Drosophila melanogaster: one gene and its partner. The protein of the gene in region 1 interacts with the protein of each later gene in a pairwise test. Each region holds a gene or a part of one and is shown in the gene's direction. Other genes may lie near its edges. The genes, in order: comr and CG16863.

Region 1 (4,639 bases):
ATTTTAATTAGCTTAACCTCAAGGCGAAGAAAGCGAAGAGCAGAGAGAAATAAGTTCAATGAGACCCCAAGGTTTGCCTTCTGGCAAGTGAAATGATTGATGGATTGGAGCTCCATTGTCTTCACATGAGTCACTAAACCACGAGAATCTTATAGAGCGTATCACTTGCTGCAGTGACTCACTCTAGAATAAGGAAATATAATCGAAACTGGAATCGGGATCGTAAAAATGCAATTCAGATAGCGAAAGGGCGGAAAACAGCTGGAAAAATTCGGGGCTAGAAGGTCGTGCTCAGTCGTCTTCATCTTTAATTGCTTGGAAAACAATAGTCTAAAAGGAAAACCGATGGAGTAGCGCCCCATAAACCATAAAAATGCATAATCTACGACCACTTGACACGCATTAAACAAAAACAAAACAACACTACGGCGGCGGCATTCCTACTTTTATGTTTTATAACGTTTTCAACATTTTATAAAATATTTTTTAGACGAACGAGATGGGAGATCTCCATATATAGTTGAACAATAGTTGTCCCCAGATAAGGAGTAAATAAAGACCTCTAGCTCTCTACCCGTAAAATTAAACTGAAACCGAAACTTATGTAGTGCTTTTTATGAATTCATATAGGGCTTCCGTCACACGACTAAATCAGATCGTAAAAAATGTACAACAAAAGAAACTTTTTCGTTCCGCCAAAAGAAAGAGCAACAAAAAATAGGAAGCAATGAAAAAATTGAAAGGGGTTTCATTGTCAAAATCACGTGCGTGCTGGTATACTATTTTTTTCCAACTGGACTTGTAAATTTATTCGTCATATACAGCCGTTGTTCTTGTTATGCAGCTTTTCATGGGCTGCCCTATGATTTTCGCTCGGAAATTACAACTTTGTCATCAAATTCGGACTGTAAACATTACAACTAGTGTAATAAAAGAACAATAAAATTGGCGGAAATATTCGCCAAAGAAATTGAGCAATGAAATGCATAATTATATTCACTAGACGAACTATTCACATCAGTAATTTACCAATAACTAAAGAAGCTATAAAGAGCAGGGTATTATAATATTCAATAGATTCAAGCAGCTGACGACATTTTTTTAATTTACTCCTGGTGACACGTGAGATTATTGCATAAAATTCTTGTCAGTCCGATTTTTTTCGCCTGTGCCAAAAACTCAGCAGTTTGTTCATCCAAATATCGTGCATCAGTCAGAATAATTGGGGGGGTGTTCGCCATGGATGATTCGTGATTAAAGGATGTGTATTAAATATTCATATGAATGTCAATTTAAAGCTATCTCTTTCGGCACAGTGTCACCCTCTCTTTCTCATTGACTGGTTATAGACCAGTTGAGTGCCAGTGTTGGCGGCTTTTTGTTGTCTCGGCTTTGGTCTGCATTATTGTTGATATAGCCCATGAATCCCCAATTGAAAGGCTTCCCTTACTTTCCTTTTTGAACTTTGCCGCCCTTGGAAACAAATGGGAGGGTTAAAACTGGGGGTTTTGGGGTTATAAATAACAATAGATTTATTGCAAACAAAACATGAAGTGCATTCAAATAAAATGAAAGGAGCTTTGTTTGGTTTTCGCCTGTCTACTCTTTCACTAAAGCTAAATTGTGTAACTTTAATTTATCAATAAGAATTTTTGGCAGCAGAATAATAATAGTGGAATGCAAGGCTTATTTAACATGTAAAAAAAAGAAGTTTTGAACATTAAGTGTGACTGCTTAAAGTACACCGATGAGAGTGTGTTTTCTTAAAAATCATCGATAGAAACTGTAAAGGATAACAGAAAAACTTAGCAACACTTTTTCCGAATGGAAAACAACAGCAGGGCAACCCTTAAAGTGGGCCAACATTTCGTTTGTCAGTCCTCATATTTTTCCGGCTTGCTCGTTTGCCCGAATATTTGTTTGAGAACTAAAAAGTCATCGAAGTTTGTAAATACAAAAGGATAATGTCGGGGAACCAAGACACTTTGGGCCAGTCACAGCAGGTCAATGAAAGTGGTGATGAATATGAAGAAGACGCAGCAACAAGTTGGACAAATGAGTTGGAACAGCAGGAGTCCAGGACGCCAGCGGATAGCCCCGAGTTTCTGGATTTTGTGGACTCCGAGGATCCGCTGGAAGATTTCGAAAGAAATCCTTTGCAGAAGGAGCCCCTCGATCTGGCAGTTAAACCTGTTTCCGACATCAATAAGAAGGCAGCGGAGAATCACAGGCGGATTTACCGACAATTGGGTATCCATATCCCGGAAACGCCAAAAAGCCATCCTCTACTCCATTATGCATTCGTCGTGAAACTGTTCCTGGCCACCGATAATAGCTCCATTCACTACCTCAAGTGGTCGGCAAATGGCCGCGAACTGGAGGTCGATTACCAGGGTATGCAGGAGCATTTGTCCAGCGGGTGTTCCATGTTTCATTGTCGAAATACATTGCAATTTACGGGCACTCTATTGGCCCACGGATTCGAACGCGTTTCATTGAAGGATGTGCGTAAATCCTCAGCCACCAACATCACGCTGATCTATCGGAATCCAAATTTCGTTAAGGGTCAGTTACTCAAATTGCATAAACTGGCTCAGGAATGTGAGAAAATACCTGAAATTTCAAGCCCGGGAACGGCGGAGCCGCGACGACCACCTCTGCACCTCCCGAACTATGCCCATATTTCCAGGATGGTACGGCGAGGAGATCTCTGCTCCACTCCCTACACATCCCGTTCTGCTCTGCAAGTGGCTCGATGTCATTTCCAAACTCTGCTAGGATATCAAGCCGATCTGGGTGTCCTTAAGGATCGCAACAATCACGATATGTTCAACAAGAACATTATGACGCAACTGAATGTGAAGAGGGGGCGTTCGTCTATCAATAACGCCCCCGTAGACTTAGCGCCCAGTAAAGTTTCCTTTGAGAAATTCGTAAAGCCGCACGAATCTGTGATTAATATCGGAATTGGCCAAGCTCCCGATTATGCCGGTTATTATGGCCAGGTCGAGCTATTCAAAGTCAACGAGTTCTTCTCCGAATATCTGCCGCGCTATGGTAGCAAAATCACCGGCTACAAGGAAATAGTTATGGATGCCACCAATAAGTCCATTGGTTTCCAGCAGAATCTGCCAATCGGCATGAATTACTCGGATGATGAAGACGATGCCCTGCCACCGATTTCATCGGACCTCGACTTGGACTTCATGCCATCCACCTCAGCGGCGGCGAAGATGAAATCTACAGGTCGCAAGGTAGTGGAGGACTCGGACTTGGAGCAGGCTATGCAGGAATTGTGCGGCGGTTCTAATCTTAACGAAGAGGAGGAACTTCCACAGACCAGCACCAGGTTTAAAGCAAAGCCCAAACCAAGAGCCAAAACCAAAGCCAAACCCACGAAACGCCAAGCTAAACCCGTACATTCCAGTTCCAGCGAATGCGAAGATTTCAAGCCAGACGAAGTGTATGAAGGTTTTAAGTCTAGAAACCCAAAGAACGTTAAGTTAAAGCCTAGTGACGAAAATATCTCCTATACTCTTGAAGAAGGAACTGATTTCGAGGAGCAAGTCATAGAAGAAACGACCGAAACCAAGGTGCAGGATTCGCAATACGATGACCTGGATGATGACGACGACGACGAGGAAGAGGATTACTTCGACGAGGATGACGAGGATTATGTTTACAAAAATTTGCAGTACAGGAACCCTCCTGAACCGCCAAAAAGCCGACGCTATGATCTACGCAACTCCAAGCGAAATCCTCGTTGAGTCTGCCACTCATTGGAATTGTATGGTATATCTAAGGCAACTAGGAGTTATTATTTGTTAAATCAAATACTTGACTGTGTGGATTTGTGCACCAAACAATTAAACGTTATTTAGTAACTTTAAAGAGGATTTTATTTAAAACTTACGGTACGCATCTTCGGACCATTCACCTCTGCCATATCTTTTGTTTATTCAACTTTAGGCCCATTCCTTTAACCATCTTCCATTGGGCATATCTAAACCTTTCATTATAGCTTTTGTTGGTCTTCTTCGAAGGCAATAAGTTTGGACATATGGGCAATTAAATCGCTTATCGCTCTTTGATCTCTCACGCCCTCAGTGCCCCATTACCGAGGCCAATCAAAAGTGTAATATCATCTGGAAATATCTTACCAATTCGAACCGAGGGCCAGCACCCACACGAACTCACAAAAACCGAAAACGTATAACCAGAAAATAAAGGAAAAAACCAGACAGGGGCACAATCAGTCGGATGTTTACAAGTTTTATGAGCCACCAAATAACAAGATGAACAACAGGCAACCGAAAACGAAACCAAAACCAAAACCAGAACCAAAGCGAAACTTAAACGATACTTGATTTCGAAGGGATTTCGGATTTGTGGTGTACCTCGCACCGCATTTGCAAGAGGCGCAAAAAATAAGCGCTTTTTTTTTATATATATAACTCAGCGTGAGCCGAGACACGATTTTTATCGTCTTTAATTTGCTTTTTATTTGATATCATATTTCAAGACAGCCGGACGGATCAAATCGGTTTGGTCCCACTCGCAGAACTCTGGAGCGTTGAAAACAAAAGCCGGTATCCTCTTATTTGCCGGCTCCGCTCCTCCGAAAAATCCCAAAACAGAT
Region 2 (5,063 bases), on another chromosome or scaffold:
CGGCCATGAAACTGCATGAGACCAAGATCGCCTTCCTCTGCTTCCTACCGGACTTCAATCTTAATCACCAGTTTCGCATCATCAATGAAAACTTTATAACCCGACGCCATCCGGCACTTATAAAGGGTCTTATCAGCCAGGACACCTTCTTTGCCTATGCCACCGCCGTGGGTGTTATGGTCATGGCATTCTTTACCATAGTCCTGGAACACAAGTATCTGCGCAGACGAATTCATGATGGCATCTGGGAATGGGCATTCCAAAGAAAGAAATACAATTCGACAGGCACCCTTCCCAGTACTCCGATCTCAGAAATTGATGATTGTGCAAGGGAGGAAAAACGGGTTACCGATCTGATAAAAGACCCATTGAACGACCATTCACTGATTGTGCACAATCTTCGCAAGCGATACGGCGATAAGCTGGCTGTGGACGGAGTCAGCTTTGCGGCTGCCCAGGGTGAATGCTTTGGTCTGTTGGGTGTTAACGGAGCGGGTAAGACAAGTACCTTTCAGATGATAGCGGCCAATTTGCCTCTAGATGGTGGCACTATCCGCATCAAAGGCGCAGACATTCGCGAGCATGAGTTGAAATACCGGGAATACTTTGGCTACTGCCCTCAGTACGATGCACTAAATAAATTCATGACCGCCGAGCAGTGCCTATACTACATGGCATTGCTGCGCGGCCTGAGCCGCCGAAGGACCGATGGACCAGCCAGCTGCAAGGAGCACGTGAAGTACTGGCTAGAGAAGATGCATTTGACCAAATATCAAAAGGTGCAAGTGCGCCACTATTCGGGCGGCACGAAACGCAAGCTTCTGGCGGCAATGGCCATGATTGGTGCACCCGCACTGGTGCTCCTGGACGAACCTACCACCGGTGTGGATCCCATCTCGAGACGATTTCTTTGGCAATGCATCAAGGATTTCCAGGGAAAGGATCGAACAGTGGTGCTCACATCACATAGGTAAGCCCAAAAAAGTATATTTCCTTTTCAAACAGATTCAAAAGTGTACACATTCTCTACAAACAGCATGGACGAGTGCGAAGAGCTGTGCAATCGCTTGGCCATCATGGCGCACGGAAAGTTCAAGTGTCTGAACAATATTTGCGCCCTTAAGCGATTAAGCGGCTTCACGATAAAACTGAAAATGAAGGCGGACACCGAAACGGAGATGAATGTGTCCACGATCACTGGCACGTTGAAGTCAGAGTTTCCTGGTCTGGAACTGCGCGAGAGCCATGCCGGCACACTCACCTACTTTGTTAGCACGCAGGAGAGTGTGGTCCTTTGGTCAAGTGTTTTCAAGATAGCTGAGGAATATCTGGGCGATCGCTTAAGCGCTCTCGTGGCCGACTATTCGGTGAACGAGTGCACACTCGAGGATATTTTCCTCAAGTTCGAGAGAGAGGCGAAATCACAATCGACGTCACGTCAAACCTCCGTGCAACGCAGGCCGGAATGCAGCTACGTTTAGGCCAGATAGTCGGAGTGTCGGAGTATCAAGTAAGATAAGCAGAAGACGGGCGTCGTACATTTCATTATTTCCCTCAAATATGGAACTTTTATGAATCTCTATCCGGTGGGAATAATCTACTTAATGTATTTAGGGACTAATAAAACCAAACAAACACCTTCGACATGGGTATATAAAACTAAAATATAAAAGTAAGATATAACTAGTACGACAAATAAATAATATTTTTTATTTATATTATAATAAATATTTCTACATAATATTTGATGTGCATTGATTATGGGATTAAGGTAAATTATCATAATTCAAAAGAAGTTAAAAACAGTTTTATACCCTTCTATTGGTAGAGGAACAGGTATCTGATTGACGGGGAACTCGACTATAGCATTCTCCCGTTTTTTTTTTTTTTTAATTTAAAATCTCCCGCCTTAGTATTTTTAAAATACCACTCATAATAATACCAAAAGGAACTTTAAACGATCTATATTTGGAATTTAACGATTCATTCAAGAATTAAAAGTAATACATAATGTAATTTTTTTATCCAGCTTGACTATTGAATATTTAATTATGAGAAAAATAAATATAAAACTATTATTACTTGGACGACTTAGGCGCTAATGGAAATGTCAAATTCTCAAAAAATCTCCCACTTGGCCACACTAATGTAGCGTTATTTACAAAATATTCATTTTTTTCGTCGTTAATTTATCGTTTATGCCGAATATGTCGCGTAGCAGAATATGGAAGTTCTACGACAAGTTGGATCGGAATTCCGCGCAGTGCCAGCTCTGCGAGAAAGTAATCAAGACAAGCGGCAACACGTCCAATCTGATGAAGCACATGAAGACCCATCCGCAGATGTAGGAAAGGCTCCTGAGTTCAAAAACCTTTCACAATGAAAATTTTCTTGAAGAAACCTCTTCGACGACGATGTGGTGGTGGAGCGGGGCATATACAAGCGGCGGGAGCAGGATGACAAGCTGCGATTCCGGAAGGTTGTTCCCTTCAAGGAAGAGAGCTCTGATTTCCACAGCGAGCTGTTGTTCAAGGCTGCCAAGGATGCGAGCGGCATTATCGAGCTGGATGATCAAGGAATGATCAAGGCGGCTGCTGAGGATCGCATCTCAACAAAGAGCGTCGGGTATGCGTGGGTCTCTCCGGAGGCCACAGTGTCCCGAACGGAGACGGTTGGCGGCGACGATATCATCGAATTCGAACCCAAGGAGGAGCTCGATGAGTCGGAGAAAAGCCCACTTCCCCAAATTCATGCTGTACCATTTGCCGGCCATGAGTAAGTTTTAATCAAAAGATAGAAGGTAGAAGATAGATACAATTGTAGTAAACTTCATTTATTACCCAGCAACTTAAAAATGGAAGAACCTCTGCCGAGCGAGAGTCCGTTTCACAAGGACATTGCCTTCTTTGTCTGCCGTGACCGCCAGTCATTGCAGATTGTGCAGGGCGAGGGATTCCAGCACCTAGTGAAAGTACTGTGCCCCACCTACAGACCACCGAGTGCGGCGAAACTGGAGGCCATTATCTGCAGGGAGTCGGAAGCGCAGAGGTCCAAGCTCTGCCAGCAGTTGGCCGACATCTCGACACTCAGCCTAAGTTGCTCGGTGCACACGAATGCGGAGAGTCGAAGCTGGATGGAGCTGGTGGCCCACTTTCACGAGGGGCGGCAACGAATCTCCCGAACTCTTTCTGTGCTGCGCCTTCCCGATCTTTTCACCTCCAACGATCTGGTGGATCGCATGGACCAAGTGTGTCAGCGCTTCGACATTCCAAAGTCAAGGATCTGCTGCGTGTCGACAAGGAGCAGTCAACTACTGGAGGATGCGGTGACATCGTTCATGGGCGCTCATCATCATGTTCCCTGCTTCGCAGACCAATTGAATTCTATTTTAGAGGAGGTGGTGCAGCGCCCAGAAATACGTCATTTGCGCGACAAGGTGCGTTCCCATGTGCAGTCCACATTGCAGCTGAATCCCCAACTGGATTCCATACACCGACCGATTAGTGTGTACAATATGCTAGACTTATACCTGAAACAGACTCTCGTTCAAGAGCCGCTGCCGCTTTCGACATCGGAGGTGGATTTGTGTCAGCAATTGCTGGACGTGCTGAGGCCGTTGACCAGCTCCATGCGTGAGCTAAGTCGAACACCATATCCGGCGGCCAGCACAGCCCTGCCCATTGCCCAAACTCTGATCAACGAACTGAAGCAGGAGAAGAGTGCGGAACACATGGTTGCCAGGGAAATACGCTTGTTCCTGGTTCAGCAGCTGGAGGAGATCTTCGAACGAATGGAGCGCAACTTGCACCTGGCATTGGCAAGTCTGCTGGACCCACGCTTTCGAAATATTCCCTTCCGGAGTGGGGCCCTGGTGGCCCAGTACATGACTCAACTCTATGACATGATGCAGGCGCATGTGGACAGCGGGGAGCAAGCTGTTGCAAAGCATCCGGAGAACCGTGATCACTACGATATCTGGGCGGCATTCAAATCCTTTTCGCATGGGAAGCAAAGGATTGTAAACGGCAGCAACGGTCCCGAGGCGGACGATGAGATAGCCAGATACTTTTGCGCCGGCATGAGTACCCTGCGAGCCGATCCCTTTCAGCTCTGGGAGGAACTGGCCGAAGCTCACCCCTTCCTGCACAACGTAGCACAGAGGTACCTGCACGTTCCGGCCACCGCAGAGCCGGCGGATCGGCTATTTACGGCCGAAGGAGCGGCGGTTGCGGCGCAGTACGCCAGACTAATCGAAAACAACATGGAAAACATACTCTTCATGGCGGAAATTCCAACGAAGGAGTGGCAGTTATAGCGTAGTCCATAATCAATCCAAACCTAAGTTGAGCACTGTGTTTTTGTACCCCTTTTATTAACTAATTTATTAATTTACATTTACAATAATGCGAACTATAAAATACATTTTTTAACTTTTTAGCTTCTCAAGCGTTAAGGAACTATTTTTGTATTAGAAAATTAGAGGTAGGGAACGAATAACGAACACATATTCATTAAAGATTTGTAAGTACTATTTACTACACATATTTACACAAATAATTTATTTTAAATATAACTTTATTGTTTACTTTTTTCTTTTGTTATCACAAATCGCCGTTACAAATTCAAATAACAATAACACCAGCAAATTAGCAAAAATACCAAAACCGAGAGAATACCAAAAACTTCCCAACACTGCCGACAGCTCAGTAATTTTCGCTTACACGGTCACACTTCTGATGACGTTTTTTCGTATTTTGAAGGGAATGTAAATGTGGAAAAACTGAGAGATTTGCAACATGCAAACATCCACGACACGCTAAAAACTCACCGAGTGCCGCCACACGACAATCCAACCGAGAGGAGCACTCCGCACAGCTGGCGGAGCACCCAGAAGGCAGCAGGCGAAAGTTGCGTGGCTGTTGTTTCCGGAAGCGGTGGGCAGAGGGAAATCCGAAGCAGTGGTAGTAGGGAAAGAGGCATCGAAACCCACCCAGCGAAGGCGACCTTGGGAGTGGCAGCGGCCCAATATGCACAACAACTCCACAAAAACCAAGGAAATGTTC

The links.
Region 2: the proteins of comr (region 1) and CG16863 interact in a two-hybrid assay, tested with the Drosophila melanogaster proteins (one large-scale study listed by BioGRID).

The regions. Positions count from the first base shown.
Region 1 is NT_033778.4:21,864,119-21,868,757, reverse strand, and holds comr (cookie monster), read left to right. Parts: upstream 1-1,898; 5' UTR 1,899-1,964; coding exon 1,965-3,767; 3' UTR 3,768-3,888; downstream 3,889-4,639.
Region 2 is NT_033779.5:13,788,821-13,793,883, forward strand, and holds CG16863 (uncharacterized protein), read left to right. Parts: upstream 1-2,138; 5' UTR 2,139-2,207; coding exon 2,208-2,344; exon of another isoform or gene 2,345-2,397; coding exon 2,398-2,775; intron 2,776-2,844; coding exon 2,845-4,315; 3' UTR 4,316-4,444; downstream 4,445-5,063. Other genes in the region: Eato (engulfment ABC transporter in the ovary), read left to right, coding at 1-970, 1,037-1,481; Sec71 (secretory 71), read left to right, coding at 5,028-5,063.